Linked DNA regions of Arabidopsis thaliana. The protein of the gene in region 1 interacts with the protein of each later gene in a pairwise test. Each region holds a gene or a part of one and is shown on either strand. Other genes may lie near its edges.

Region 1 (9,247 bases):
AACGTGATGTCAAAATTATCAATTAGTGATAAGACTAATCGCGGTTGGTTACTTATAAAAATTTGATAGTATAATCAAAATTGTGAGACTAATCTGAATTATTTAATGTATTCTAATATGAATTATACATCTTGCTTCAATATATTATCATATTTCTCATATTTATAAAGAAAAATAAATATAAAACTAGTATATTTTAAAACTAATCATTCAATGAGATAGTTATTAAGATAAAGTGGCTATTGTAATTGAAGATGAAGTATTAATAAATTTAAAGACACTAATAATAAATAATTTATTTACTTTGATAAATTTAATAAAATAGAAATTTACATTTTGATACTTTTTATATTATTTGGTGGCATAATATTTAGAAAACTTTCCATATTTTTTTATTTTGTTTTTTTTCTTTACAAAAATCTAAAGAAAAATAGAAAATAAGAATAATTTCATAAATGTTAATTAACGAGATGGCTAATCACAATTGGTTGTTTAAAATCCTATGTGGACGGCAGAAGAAGCAAAAGGCCTCGACTTTTCTATAGTATAGATTAATATACATAATCTACGAAAACGATTGTCGTTATCTCTGAAATTTATGATCAGAGACTTTGTGGGTCTTATTGCAATAGTACACATTTAAGTAGTAAATTTTGATAAGACTACCTTCACATCATCAACCTCCAAACTTTTCAATTATAGAATGATGTACAAAGCCTTGAATAGTAGTATTTTCGATTTTGAAAACTAAAACTAAGATAAATAAATAGGAAAATATTTAGGTTTAAAAAAAAAATCTTTTCATCAAGTAAAAGAAAATTTATTCCTATGAAGTCATTTTTTCCTTTTAAAATTATTTATGTAAGATATATATGTACTAGATAAGACCCGCCTAAAAAGGCGGATGTAAGAAATAAATATAATTTTGTATCATTAATATTTGAATTCTAAATAGTAATAAATATTTTTATTAACATTTAATTTTAAAAAATTTCAAACCAAATTTCAGACTTACACATCCCATATTTTTCTATACACTTTAACTATTTATTTCATATTAATAAACTGCATTTTAATTCTACAAACTACATCTTATCGATGATTTTTGAATTCAAAATAGTATCTTGCTCTCTTTTTCATTTTTAATTTATTATTTTAATTTAAAAAAATTTCCAATCTTACACATTCCATTTGCAATACAATTTAACTATCTATTTAATCATTATAAACTGGATTTTGATTCTACGGACTTCATCTTAATGAATAAATGCTAAAAATATTATATCAAAATAGTGTTATATGATTTTGATTTACGGTTTTGGCGGAAAAACGTCGGTTTACGGTTTTGGGGAGAAAACGTCGGTTTACGGTTTTGGGGAGAAAACGTCGGTTTACGGTTTTGGGGAGAAAACGTCGATTTTCAGGTTTTGGCAAGAAAACGTAGGTTTTCCGGTTTTGACGAGAAATCGCTGGTTTACGGTTTTGGCGGGAAAACATAGGTTTACGGTTTTGGCGGGAAAACATGATTTTCAATTTTGGTGGAAAACACTTTTTGTGATTTCGGCAGGAAAACAATTTTTGTGATTTTGGCGGGAAAACAATTTTTGTGATTTTGGCGGGAAAATGTGGTTACGGTTTTGGTGGGAAAACGTCGGTTTACGGTTTCGGCGGGAAAACATGATTTTCAATTTTGGTGGAAAACACTTTTTGTGATTTTAGTATGAAAACAACTTTTGTGATTTTGGGGGAAAAACGTCGGTTTATGATTTTGACGAGAAAACGTGATTTGAATATTTAAACCAAAAAGTGAAGTTAAGTAGAATAATTTAGTTTTAATGTATTAACACATTAACATTTTTAATAAGGTTTACTAATATAAAATGAAAAAGTAAATGGACTTAATTGGGTACCCATTTATTTGTGTGAAACCCCATTTAATAAATGGGTTTAGTTGGGTTAACTCATTTAATCCTATTTAATTTTTTTCTAAATGAGTTTAAATGGGTCAATTTCTCTTACACAAACCCATTAATTAAATGAGGTTTGCATACCCATATTAACATCACTAGTTATATCATATTGTATCAGAGTTAACAAAAAGAAAAAAACATTATATCTTAGTTAATAATAAATGAGTTAACAAATTACTAAAATAAAAATCCACAAACTAACAAAAAATCTTTACCATTAGTATGACGTTAAATCAACTGTGGTCTTTTTGAAGAGTATTTTGGTTTGGTGAAAAAGTAGGAGACTACCTATTATTTTTATAGATATGAGTATTTTGAATCGTTTTTCTTTTAGGATTAATAATTGATTGTAGTTTCCATAATTATGGTATTTTATATAACAAGATTGTATAATTTCTTAAATCCTTTTTAAATTTTGTAGGAAAAAGTAATCAATTTTGATTAAGAATTAGTAGCTTCAATTAGAATTAGTAAATGATTTTTTAATTTCTATTTTTAATTTAATAAGATACATATATTTTTTTAAAACTTATCATATTTACTTCTCTAAAATGTTTTAGTTTCCTTATACTTATTTTAAAATATATAATTTCTTACAATTGTCTTTTTATAGTCTTAAACTTAATAAAAGAAAATTTTGTTTTACACGTGTTAAAATCTGAGATCGATAAAATTTGCACATAGCATAATCAATTACTAACTTTGAAAACCGTACTTTATATAATAAGTTAGTTTCCTTGTAATTATCTTCTTACATTTTGAAAACTGTTTAAATTTATAATTTACAATTATCTTTTTGTTTTTTAAATTTAATAAAACAAATTTTTTTTATTTATATATGTCAAAATCTGAGATCGATGAAGTTGACACGTGTTACAATCATATGAGTTACTAACATTGAAAACCATATTTTATATAATAAAATACATAAATAAATGTTGAAAAAGACTGATAAAAGAATGACAAACCACTAGAGAATATACATTAATAAGAATCATGAAATAAGAGAAACCTATAGTCTAAACAAACAACACTTCAATAGGAAAATTCATTAAAAAGTGGAATACGTTGTTGTTGTTGGGATAGATGATGGATATCCTTCACAATGTCGAACACGGCTTCAGGTTGCGACAACTTTAGAGCATTCTCTGACATTTTCTTTAATTCCTCTTTATTGTTGCTAAACCAATCCGCCACGATTTTCGCAGTTTCTTTGGGACTTCGGGTGAAAACTCCAGCCCCATTGTCCACAACATACGGCACGTTGCCTTTTTCCTTTGGGAGTCACATACAATAGAGTTAGTTTATGTGGCCGATTAATCCCTAAGGTGAAGCAAAAAAATGTATACCTGTCCAGGAATATAGTCATTGAGGATAATTGGGAGGCCGCAAATCAGTGCTTCCGCAATCGTACCCGGACCAGCCTGTTTTATGTCATAAAATCTTAGTGCTATTTATATGAATGGGTAGGATTCAAAGATATGACTTACCTTAGTGATGATACAATCACAAGCTCCCATCCATTTTTCCATTTGTGTTTCAAACCCTCGAACCTATAAACGTCACAAGTATATATTAGTTACTTGGTATATAAGTATATAGTAGAAGTAAAAAAAAAATTATATTTTAGTTTGTACCTTGACCGGAATCTTCCATTCATGAGATGCTAATGTAGAAGCAAGGACTTTGTTCCGGCCGCATATGACAATCAATTGTCCTATTGGATTACTTTCTTTAGAGTTGTATAAAGAATCTCCAAGGGCTAGAGCTGTTTTTTGAACCGGACCCATTCCTTCACCCCCTCCCATTAATAGAACCGCAGGTAAATTTAAGTCTATTTCAAGTTCCTTCCTTAGTTCATTCTAACAAACACACATAATAATAGCTATTGTTGATCTTCTCTTGATTGGGAAAAAAAAGATCTCTAAATGGTATGAATTGGACAGAATTTACCTTGTTGAGAATAGTGCGAGGGAAAGATGGGCGGACAGGTAAGCCAAAGACACGGATTTGAGAGTCATCAAGGCCGTCTACTAATGCTCTCTTTGCAACCTCTTTGGACGGACAATAACATCTGCTGACTCCATGATGGAACCTATTACATCAAAATCGAAGATTTCATTTTGAGCTATTAGGTTAATTTCAATGTTTTAAACCCTGACCCGGACAGTGAACCGGATTTTCTTCTGGATCACCGATTAATGGGGTTAACCGAATTAGACCACAGGTCAATTGAATAAAATTTATTGAATATATTTAATATTAATAGAGATTATATAAAATAAAACAAAAATAATTATCTTATGTTTAACAAAATATGAAATCAAACAGTAACAATCAAAGTTTTCAATTTAACTAAAAGTCTAAAAGACTAAAACCGTAACAAATATAGTAGGAGATCATTAATGACGAAAATAAATTAATAAACATTGCGAATTAAAACAACTAATCTCGGTTTCAGTCACTTTAGGCGGAATTGTGAAGACTTCACCAAAATATAAAAAAATCAAATGAGTTTAAAAAGTGAATTTTTTTTCTAAAAATAGCTGAATAGAGTCTAAAATGCTATATTTTATTCAAAAATCGAATATATTTTTTAAAACTCACACACGGCCAGTTCAACCGGTTCACTGGGTCGCGGGTTAATGGCGATTTTTTGTGGATTTTTCCGGGTTTAAAATTGTTGGCTATAGTACTAAACCTAAACCGAAAAAGTGTTTGGGTTGCTGATTAACCGTTCGAACCGAACGGTTTGGGTCGGACGTGAAAACACTGGTTAATTTTAAATATTATTGCATATAATCTATATTTTATTAAATGAAAAGTCATGAGAGTAAACATGCAGGATTAATATGCTAACGCGTGGATTAAACTGATTTTAAGTACTTAGTATATATAGAAGTAATGTCATCTTACCATGTACGGTGGCAAGTGTTTAGATCAGTGATGACCGTAACGAAAATAACTTTCTTGTGAAGTCCTTGCCATTTCATTACCCACAATGGTATGTGTTGCATCAGAGGATGCACGCTAATAATAATGTCCGGTTTGTACTCCATTAAACCGGCCTCTATTTCTCTGTTCACCAAAAGAAGAAATAATCTCCATTATATTGCTAATTCGTAACACTAAGGGATGATAACGAAAAAAGAAGAAGGTTAACATATAAGTACTTGGCATAATAAGCGGCAAGAGCACTTAGATAGCTTTTGTGGATCCATTTGGGAGAAGTACCATGAAACGCAACAGACCAAAGACCAACATGTTTCACCATGAACTTGTACTGTCTCTCCATGTCGTTCAATGGCCATCCAGTGTATTCTTTCCAAACATCTTTTATGATTATCTATAGTTATAAAAAAAATGACATTAGTTCCTAGAGAGAATATTGTAACATCAAAGAGTCAGAGCTAGAGAAATAAATAATGCAAATTTTTAATCATTATTGACAAACAAAATAAATGGAACGTGGGACAGGTTTTAAGACATAGATTGTTGACGTCAGCTCGTATCTCCGACACCCTGGCAAACTCCAAGATTCATACTAGGCTACAAAACTTCCAAGTAGATATTTGTTTCTTTTCGTTTTCAAATTCAAGACGACTACTGCGACAACTTTAATATTGACGGCTGAGATTTCATTAGAATCAGAAACTCCTCTATGATATATTATAACATAATCTATTGGAAAATTTTGTCATAATATAAATACATATTATTCGAGGTATATATTTACAAGCTTTGAAATTTTCAAAATGAATATTTCAAAATATTGTTGTTGTTTTACACAGAAACTAAAAGATAAAAGTATGATTAAGTTTTGTTGCTTATGCAATATTTTTTCGTTTTTTTGTACGTTATATATATGGTTAAGGAAGCATATTATTGGCTCAACCCTATGCGTTGGATTCAAGGCAAAGAGAATGAAAATGAAGATATAAATAAAAATATTAATATTTTTACCCGATAGTCATCTCCGAATTCGATCTTGAAAGCGTCGCGGATGGCCTCGGCTGAAGCACGGTGGCCACCGCCGGTATCACTCATGAGAATAAGAACAGTTTTGATCCTCTCTGCTCCCATCTGCTCCATCTCCATAACTTCTTCTTTGTCTTCTAACCCTCTCTTCCTTAGACGACTCTCCTTCTCATAATCACTTGATCTCTGACGATGGATATACTCATCTTCTACTGTTGAGATGTTAAAATTGCTATAGACTCGTCGAAACACCTTCTCAGTGATTGAATCCGACCGTGTACGAGGTGACACCACTTTCATCATGACTATTTGGTGTTGAAGAAAGAATAATAAGAAGACCGATGGTTGTGTTTTCTATGTGGCTGGTTGGTGATCTTTATGTAAAAGATTTTAAGTTCTTTTGGGGTTTTAAATTTTTTGTAGCAAAAAAAATGGAAGACCAAGTTGCTTCTTTTAATAATTGTTTTTAAATTACTTGAGGAATGATGCTGGAATTATTCTTTTTTTTTTTTTTCGGTTCCTATAGTTTTGCTTAGGTATTTATATTTCGTGTCTTTATTGTTTTATGTGGGGCTTAATTTAGTGGTAGAGTAACAAGGGAATATGGCAGCTTGGAGCCGTCGGATCCGCCTTTGGTTTCGGAATCTTCGGATATATGATTCGGATCTTTCTTTGCATCTCAAGTATATTTAAAACAACTTGACTTTTTAAAAATTAAAAAAAAAATATGACATGGATGGTCCTTTTTGTGACATAGGTAAACCGGTTTAGAATCAAAAATTATCTGGTTTGATTAGGTTTAAATCGATTCAGTTAAATTTGAGTCCACTTTTCATATTAATTTAATACTTGATTAATTGATTCAAGTTAGTTTCGATTTTTGTTTAGTTGTTGATATGAATGTTTGTAAACAAAAATAGGTTTCAGTTCAAATGTCTACTTTTGCATCAAATGTACTCATATGGAAAAATTGTCTATTTGTCTACGAGAATTATGACATCATTAGATATTGACCCGCGGTACACAGCGAGTTGATTATTTGCGTTAGAAAGTTAATTGTTGTTTCAATTTAATATAATCTATATATAAATAACTGAGCAATAGTTTTATTTTTTCAACTTACTTGGTATATGTATTTACTTTTATTGATATAGTAGTATGTTTTTTTTACTTGGTTATGTTTAGTTAAGATAACATGTTTATTATACTTATTAGTACATAAAATGTGTATTTTATGATGCATTAGTACGTGTTTTATTATATATTTTTCTCTTTATTACAGAACATTATTAAAATTTTAATTTATTTTAAATTTGATTTTTGGTATATTACTGTAACTATCCTAAAGAAAAGAATGTTGTTTTATATGAAATAGTTGTACATTATGTTTTAAATCTGTGGTTCAATTTTCACAATTTAATTTATTTGGTATAATATAATTTGAAAATCTCATTTTATTTTTTTAGAAGTAGTAAAATCAAGAAAACTTAATACTATATGAAAAATTTATGTGCGATAAACATAATTACAAATATAAATTTAAAAAATAAATATAGTGACATTCAAAGAAATTAAGACTAATGTGGGTATAATAAGTCTATTAACTATTGGGTATTCTAAAACAATATGAAGCGGTATCAGGACATATGATAAATTTTGTAAAATCATCGATTCAGTTCGGGCATAAAGTAGATGAAGCTATAAAGGCAGAAATAAAATCGATCTTGGGTATACATAATATCGGAGGCATGGGTTCCTATCTCGGACTACCTGAGAGTTTAGGGGGATCTAAGACAAAGATCTTTTCCGTTGTTAAAGATCGATTACAGTCGAATAAATGGGTGGTCAACTAAATTCCTATCAAAAGGAGGGAAAAAAGTGATGATTAAATCAGTAGCCGCAACATTACCAACTTATGTGATGTATTGCTTTAGGCTCCCGAAAACAATTACTTCCAAACTAACAAGTGCGGTCGCAGGATTTTGGTGGAGCTCGAATGGTGAATCTAGAGGTATACACTGGATGACTTGGAACAAACTGTGTACTAGTAAATTGGGAAGTGACTAAGGTTTTCGGGATGTAGATGATTTAAACTCTGCATTATTAGCGAAACAGTTATGGCGTCTAGTTTCGTTTCCGGACTCTCTCTTTGCCAAGGTTTTTAAACGAAGATATTTTAGGAAATCCAATCCTCTGGAAAATATAAAATCATACTCTCCGTCTTATGGCTGGAGAAGTATTTGTTCAGTTAGATCTCTGGTTTGTAAAGGACTTATTAAAAAAGTCGGTTCAGGGGCTTCCATCTCCGTTTGGGAGGATTTGTGGATCCCGGCTCAAAACCCGAGACCAGCAAAAAGTAATGGTTTGTGGATGTCGGATCTTGTGCTCGACTCGACCCGCAATTTGTGGGCTTCCAGACAAGGATTGGGCCCGGCCTTAGAGCCCAATGAAAGCCCAGTGGTTCAAAAAGTTGATACGGAATTAATTTAGTAACGGCTGGATATCGACTTGAATGATAAGCATTCAAAGGCCCGAGCTGTTGATCCGCAACGTACGAAGTTAATAGGGGCGAGGTCTGCGGCGTGAAACCAGCTAATCATTTAAGTCATTTGATTCGTTGTATTAGTATAAATAAGAGTCAATTGTCATTTGTAAAGGGGACGAAAACACCTTGTACTGAAACTATACTGAAACTATACTGAAATACACAAATCCGTTTATCATTTGATCATTGTTCGACCGACAAGACTTAAGATCCTCACAAAAACAACCACAAAATTCTAATTGCGGATTCTGGCATCCACAATTTGGCGCTAGAAGGAGGGTAAGTTAAGTCTTTAACTTCAGAGCAACGATCAATTCACCATGAGCAACACCGACGGTCAGAGTTCCGGCGACTAAACCTCCACCCTCGACGACATCAAGCAGCTGCTTCAGCAGTTGTCAGAGAAAACCGACCGGCAACAGCTCGCAGTAACGACACTCTCCGATAAGTTCGTGTTTTTCTAAGAACATTGCAATGGCCAGCTCGCAGCTTTAGCAGCAAACCATTCCGAGATCAGATCAGCGCACAATGCATACGCCGAGCGGGTTGATTCTCTTTCTGCAGGAACGGCGCGGACTACTGGAGCTCGAACGCGACTCAACTTTCAGGGTGTCGCAAGCCCAAGCGTCCAGAATTCGCAGGAAGCTTCTGGCCAGCAATCTCCTTCACCTCCAGTTGACGTCGGGGCAACGTCGACACAGAATCCAGTCATACAATCTTCACCAGCAGGCCTTGCCGCAGTCTCAGATGGGAC
Region 2 (7,223 bases), on another chromosome or scaffold:
ATTGGGAAATACATAATAAAATAACCATATTTTTTGTAAGTAATTACATAGGTATGCAATTAAAAATAAAATTTCAAAGAGTAAAATAATTCATCTTTTTAAATATTAAAAAGTCAAATACTAATTTAATTAATTAAATTTAATTAAAAAACAAAATACATTTTTAATTTCTAAAAAAGTAACCAATCAAAATCAACATATAAGATTTGATATCCAAATTTTAATTAATTTAATTTAATTAGACAAACGAAATACATTATTAATTTCCAAAAAAAATAACTAATTAAAATCAACAAATTAGATTTGATATCTAAATTATCATATTAATTTTTTATTAATTATTATAGTTCATCTCTCATCTTTATATGATTCTATTTTTGCGAAAAAATAATATTATTGTTATAAAAGAATAATTAGCTTTTCGCATGTGCCATGATTTATATTTTTAAAAACGAATATAAACTGTTCAATACATGAAAAAATATTATAACAGGTCAAAAATAGATTTTAGAAAACTTTCTACTAAGTAACGGGTTATAATTTAAATATTTATATTCAATTTCATACATATTATTTTGAAAATTTATAATCTTATATACTATAATAATTAATAACATATTAGATTTTTTTATGTGTATGATGTGATTCAATTTTTAATACAAGCTTGAAAATCTTAGAATTGACGGGTTTAAATCAATATTAATACAAGATGGTAATTATAGGTGAAACTCTAAAATTAACAATTAAATACAAGTGTATAATCTTAAATACTGAACAATATAAATAATATCAACAAAAATATACAACTAGCAGTTTACTATACATTTAAAATCCATAAAATAATATTATATATTTATAAATCACTTTTACAATAAAAAATTTTAGTTTAACTAAAATATAAGAGTATCTACGGTATACCGCACGTTTATATCTAATTACGTATATATAAAAAAGAAACAACTCAACTAACCCACTTACGTTTCCGTCAATTCAAAAATAAAACTATATATTTTACCAAAAAAAAGTAAAGAAAAAAAAAAGTAAAACTAGATATATACAATTTATTCTAGTTGCAAATTAAGCATTCAAAATTGGCAAGATATGTAATTGTTTAATTTCGTTAAGACTCTTAGCATTAAAACCAAAGAAAATAATATGAAATTTCTCTTACTAAACAAGTTTTTATTTAATGAAAAAAACAAGGTTTATTTAATTACCACAATAATTTATTCTTATAAAAAATGTTGACTCTATACGTAATAAAAGATCCACTGGAAAAACCGAACAAGGGGTCAAAACAAACAGCTCATCCCAAAAAATGCCGACGTTCGTGTTTACACATGCTGCTTTGTCCCCACGCGTCCCCACTCTCAGTTGGCTCTCCGTACAACACGTGTTAAAGGTGATTAATTAACACAAACCGTGATTTCAATTAAAACGAGCTTTTTCTTTCAACTTTTTCCTTACGTTTTCCACTTATTGCTTTCGTGTCGTACAAGTGGCGTCTGGTCATTAGATTGTGTCCCGTGATCTGACCCCAATTGCACACGTACGCTACCATACCACGTGTACTTCTAGTTCACGCTCCGGCCAGTCTCGCCGGATTCCGGTTAGTAAATTCGTAAGACTTCTCTGGTGGTCAAAATAGAAAGTTTTTCGTGCATTTTGATTGGTTCTAGTGAAATTGTGCAAATTTTTGATTGACTTAATGGCCCACTTCCATTTCAAAACATTTGTTATTAGTATTGTTTTGGTTCATAAATTATCATTAGTTTATTTCTTCAGAGAAACAAGAGATAATAAGTCAATGATATAATTATTCACTATCAATTATTTATCTACCTTTCTATTTCGATAACATTTCAGCACCATGTATGATATCAATTATAGTATATATCTTCGAATCATATTTTAATATGATCGTTGATACGATCTCCATGCATTTATGTAGAAGAAAAGCCGACCACAAATATTAAACAAAAGAGTAGATAGATACCAATAATAGAAACTCCATCATTAAAACAATGTTATGAGCTGAGCTTTATATTGTTTACTGGTGGGATGTTGCTTTCCCCTTGACGAATATACTTTAGTAATAAATATTTTAAAACTATAGTATTTTGGATTTTGGATATGTAACAAAATCTATATAACAAATACAATGATTGCATGTTTACATAACTCTATTCCAATGGCGTTTTGTTTATTGGAATTGGAGAAAACCATTAACATCAAACGAATAATTAGTGATATTATCACTGTAATAACTCTCTTTTTCATCCTCGGTGCTGCAAGTGCTACTATTGATGTAAGTTGAGGAACTTGAGTTTAACGGAGTCGGGCTTGAAGAAGGTGTGGTCAAGACTGAAGCAAAGTCGGAGTAATAAGGTTCTAATACAAAATTGGACTTCGAACAATCATCATCGTATGACAATGAATTTTGGACCGTCGTCTTCATTGGCATGAGGTCTTGGAAATTCGTGAATTGATCCATGATAGGGAACCAAGATTGTAATTCTTCATTACCAGGCATGTTGTAACCGGTTTGGTATTGGTTTACTTCGGTTTGGTTAACCGTGTTGTTCTCGTGTGTGTTGTTGGGGTGGTTTTGGTTTGAAAAGAGAGAGGTTGCGAGTTTGAGTATCTCGGGGTTAACCAATGGTTGATGATTACCATCACTCATCATGAGCCTCGACATGTTCATATGTTGTTGATGATGATGATGATGATGATGCGAAGAGTTGTAGATAGATGAGCTGAGAATGGAGGAGATATCGAGAAGATCAAGACGTGGAGTGTGTGTAACCGGGTCGATTCCCATCTTTAGAAGTCTTTTTCTGATGTGAGTGTTCCAATAGTTTTTGATCTCGTTGTCTGTTCTTCCAGGCAAACGAGCCGCAATCGCAGACCACCTATACGAAAGCAAACAAAGTTAGAATCTGATGCATTGTAGATTTAACATAAATCACTAGTAACATCATTCAAAGCTATGACTCTAAGACTAATCTACAAGATTAGTAGTTTTCGTATAAACTACGTAATGGCAAAAATATAAAATTATTGAAAAGTTCAAACTCACTTGTTTCCCATGATGCTGTGAAGTTGAATAATGGTTTCTTCTTCTTCAAAAGAGAATCTTCCACGCTTAATATCTGGTCGGAGATAGTTGGTCCACCGGAGACGACAACTCTTACCACATCTTTGTAACCCTATAGTCAAGATTCAAGCAAAACTTTAAAAAGACAATTCACGAATAAAAAAAGTATGATTAAAATGTAATAATGAAGATACGTATACTAACCAGCATTCTTGGGAAGAGTTCTCCAATTTCCATAACCATGTATATTGATATAATCAATGAGCTTTTGATCCTCCTCAGGAGTCCATGGTCCTTTCTTGAGACCATTCTTCTTCTCACAACATGGTGATCGTCCCATCTTTTTGATTAATTGTTAACCGATCGATGAAGTCAAATGTTTTTAAAAAAATATAGTGATTGAATTATGAGGAAACAGAGAGTAGAGAGAAAGAGAGAGACGTAGGGTCCTTAAAGAGAGGTACGAAATATATATAGGAAAGAGATGAGACTCTTATCATATGGGGAAAAAAGGTGAAGTCAAATTGATTCGGTGCCGTCCTCTGTTCATCGATTGGGCTACGTGTCCTTTATAATCCCAAAATTTGTTTTTTCCAAAAAGTTTTTTTTGGATGTATACATACTATATATTAATGTTTTTTCCTACACCTTATTGTGAATTATGATAATGGCTAAAACTCTAGTAACAAAGCTGGCCACTAAATAACTTAATTTGGTTTTTGTTTGTAAGTATTTTTGTAAGTCATTTATGTTTTAAGTTAATTATAACTATGCATGCATGTGAATCTAGTGTGACACTTCGGTACAAATCTTGTAATTTGGGTAACCAAAAATATTTTTCATAACTTAGATAGTATAGAAACCATTTATACATTCTTCTTGTTGATTTTTTTTTTTTTTTTGAATATCAAGAGATTCTGGATCGAAGCATTTCTCTAGGCCTGAAACCATAGCATGTAATTTTTGTTCCAAGCGTCACTCAAATAGACATCTCTAAGCTTTGCCTAAATTTTTTACCAATTGAGCTAACGACACTTGATTCTTCTCGTTGATATTAATAAGAAAAATATCGTCAATCCAACTAATACCCTAGTTTCGAGTGATATGTTTCAAATTAACTATTTTTAATTGATTAGGAGTTTCATAATTTATAAGAGTCTCTATAATAGTATATAGTCTATTCAACTAGAAAATTGATAAATTCTGTTTTAATATTGTTAATAAAGACGGTAGACAAATGTACGTATGATATGAAACACGTGATTTTGGGGAGTTTTGTAGTGTTAAACACTGTATAGATTAATGTATAAACTTGTGTGATGATACTTAAGACTTAACTAATCAATTGATAAATATGATAATTAACAATGCAATCACAATCTAAAGAGACATGGACGTCGTCGAGGAGTGTCGCTCTCCGTAGCTTTTGGCTGTTTTCACATTAGCTGTCGCCAAAGTTATGATGCCACGTACTCTCTCTTTCCTCACAATTCAACCCTTCTGCTTTGTTTTTTCCTTTGGACTTTTTTGCAAAAACAAAACATATACAATGGATAAAATTTGTAAAACTATCAGAATACTGTTTGGTAACATAACTTTTAAAATTAATTTTGATTTTTACGTGAAAAGTATTTAACAAATTAACGCAGGTTCACACACACCAAGTTTTATAAAAGATTCTGGATTCATCTAATATCAAATTTTAAATAAATAACATATTTTCGTATAATAGTTTTTTTTGGGTAAATTTCAATAAAAACTACAATTGCAATTTTTATTAATGTTATAAAAACGACATTACCAACCTATAAATTCGTGAGTTTGATGTATAAGAAAATAGATAAATAAATGTTCAAGTATTAAATACATACACAGCAAATTTAGCTGTTCCTCTCTGTCTCTCTCTCTATCCCATCAAACTTTCTCAAGAAAAAAATGAAGACCAATCTTTTGGACTTATTAGCTTTTTCTACGTGAGATTTTGAATACATGATTGTGAATTTGTGATGCTTCCAAATTCCATTTGAAATTTTTGATTTTGAGTTATATATATATATATATATATCTTATTATTCATTGGGTGGCTTTATAATCATTTTGAAGTAAATATAAATGTGAGAAGAAAATTGATTGATACATTTTGCATGGCGTGACGTCAGATAGATTATCACTCTTATAGGAACCACGAGTTGTGCAACTCATCTTCCCTTTCGTGTTTCGACACTTTACATTTAATTACAACTAATAAAAATGGATTTTATTAACTAATTAAGTACTTTTTTGATCTCCTAAGAATTTGAATATATGAGTAGCTAAAACTCTAGAACAAACTAATTATAGTTAATGAATATTTGGATTCTATATTATTGGCGCATATGGCCTTATTATATATGCATAGTTTCAGGCAAACAAAAATTCATTCGAATATTCCAACAAACAAAAGCATCCAAGTAATAAAAATACATAAACAAAAGCAGCTAGTTTATAGACAAAATCTTCAAATAATCAGGAAGGACGACGATATAGATTGGTGATTAATATATTAGTAGTGATCGAATCATTGTCACATTTATGCTATTATAATACTATAGTTAAATATAAGTACATTAGGTTAATGTCTCGTTCCTTGCGGTTCAAGAATCTGTCGGGTTTAACGACAAATGAAAACTCCGCAAAGTGCGAAATTATGTGAATGAATAAGTATATTAGTTGATAAGAAAAAGGAGAATAAAATTTCATCACTTTATCAAATAAATAAATAAAAGAATACAGGATTAAAATAACTAAAAAAAAAAATTAGAAGATAGCTAGTGATGCTATATTAGGGTAGTAACTTGTCAAACATCTAGAGGCTTTGCTTGCGCATGAATTTGCCACAAAGAGCAGCAGCCTACGTGTTACTAGTTACTACATAGTTGACCATATCTTATTTGTTGATAATGTTTGAGCCTTTTCATGAATTAAATATGTTTCATGGATATTGGATCTGTATATCACTATGGATAAATCACTTAGAGCTCGATTGATTTAAACGTAATAGAAACATGTGCAATTGCAATTGCAAGAATTTGCAAAAACAGATGGGTTTTCACACATTTTGGATCTAAATTTATAGAAACATACGTGACTTCGTATATGTGAATCAAATTGAAGATATATTTGTAGGTCAATTTTCACTTTCTAGGTAATAATAGTACAAAAATTTATTAATTTAGAGAGGTATTAATTTATCGATAAATTAATAATTATTAATTTATGGAGAGATTTTAAAAAATTTGTAATTTTTTACAAAAATTTAATCCAAAAGGTAGTTCCTCTCTACAATCAATAATTTTTCTAAAAATCAATTACAAGTATAAAACCATTATTAGGTTTAAAAAAAAAATCTTTTTTATACGTAGTAAAATTATTAGAATTGAATTTTACAAAGAATTAATATAAATTGAAGAAAAACAATACTAAAGTCATATTTTACTAAGTTTTACATAATATATATTCATAAATATAAATATATATATATATATATATATTCATAAATTTATACAATTATTAATTTATAATATTGATGGGACCATATATTTACATAAAATTTTCAAAATAATTATTATCTTATTAATTTATCGATTTGTATCAATTTTTATAGTGGTCCCAACTCGGGACCGGAAGAATTTATTAATTTATAGAGGTTATTAATTTATCGAGTATTAATTTATAGAGGTTTTACTGTATGTGGGCAATAATAGTATGTAGCCACATACTATATATATATATATACACGATACTTGCCTAATTTTTCTTAATATAAAATATGATTGATTAGTATGTATGTTAAAATAAATCGAGTCACGTACGTAGAGATTATCGTCGCATTATTCCAGATTTTGATACGTCAGAAACGAGCCATTTGAATTCTAAATAGTTGAAAGACAAAGACCAAGAGTCCACACACACATACGTAATTATGTATATAACATTTATTTATGTATAGAAAATTACAATACATATGCGAGTGCGATACGATATCGGAATTAATAGTTGTGGAGTTGATGTGCCACATAGTAAAGTAGCTATATCTATATAGAATATTTGAATTATTAAACTTAGTGGTTTCTATTCTTGGAGGTTT

The links.
Region 2: the proteins of MGDC (region 1) and MYB74 interact in a two-hybrid assay, tested with the Arabidopsis thaliana proteins (one large-scale study listed by BioGRID).

Annotation. Positions count from the first base shown.
Region 1 is NC_003071.7:4,740,392-4,749,638, reverse strand, and holds MGDC (monogalactosyldiacylglycerol synthase type C), read right to left. Parts: upstream 6,478-9,247; 5' UTR 6,252-6,477; coding exon 5,934-6,251; intron 5,373-5,933; exon of another isoform or gene 5,317-5,372; coding exon 5,144-5,316; intron 5,049-5,143; coding exon 4,887-5,048; intron 4,066-4,886; coding exon 3,924-4,065; intron 3,833-3,923; coding exon 3,608-3,832; intron 3,524-3,607; coding exon 3,461-3,523; coding exon of another isoform or gene 3,425-3,460; exon of another isoform or gene 3,421-3,424; coding exon of another isoform or gene 3,415-3,420; exon of another isoform or gene 3,395-3,414; coding exon 3,320-3,394; intron 3,246-3,319; coding exon 3,006-3,245; 3' UTR 2,829-3,005; downstream 1-2,828. UniProt on the Arabidopsis thaliana protein: Involved in the synthesis of monogalactosyldiacylglycerol, the major structural component of photosynthetic membranes and in the chloroplast envelope biogenesis.
Region 2 is NC_003075.7:2,614,771-2,621,993, reverse strand, and holds MYB74 (myb domain protein 74), read right to left. Parts: upstream 3,623-7,223; 5' UTR 3,438-3,622; coding exon 3,302-3,437; intron 3,210-3,301; coding exon 3,080-3,209; intron 2,913-3,079; coding exon 2,204-2,912; 3' UTR 2,047-2,203; downstream 1-2,046. UniProt on the Arabidopsis thaliana protein: Probable transcription factor that may function in salt stress response.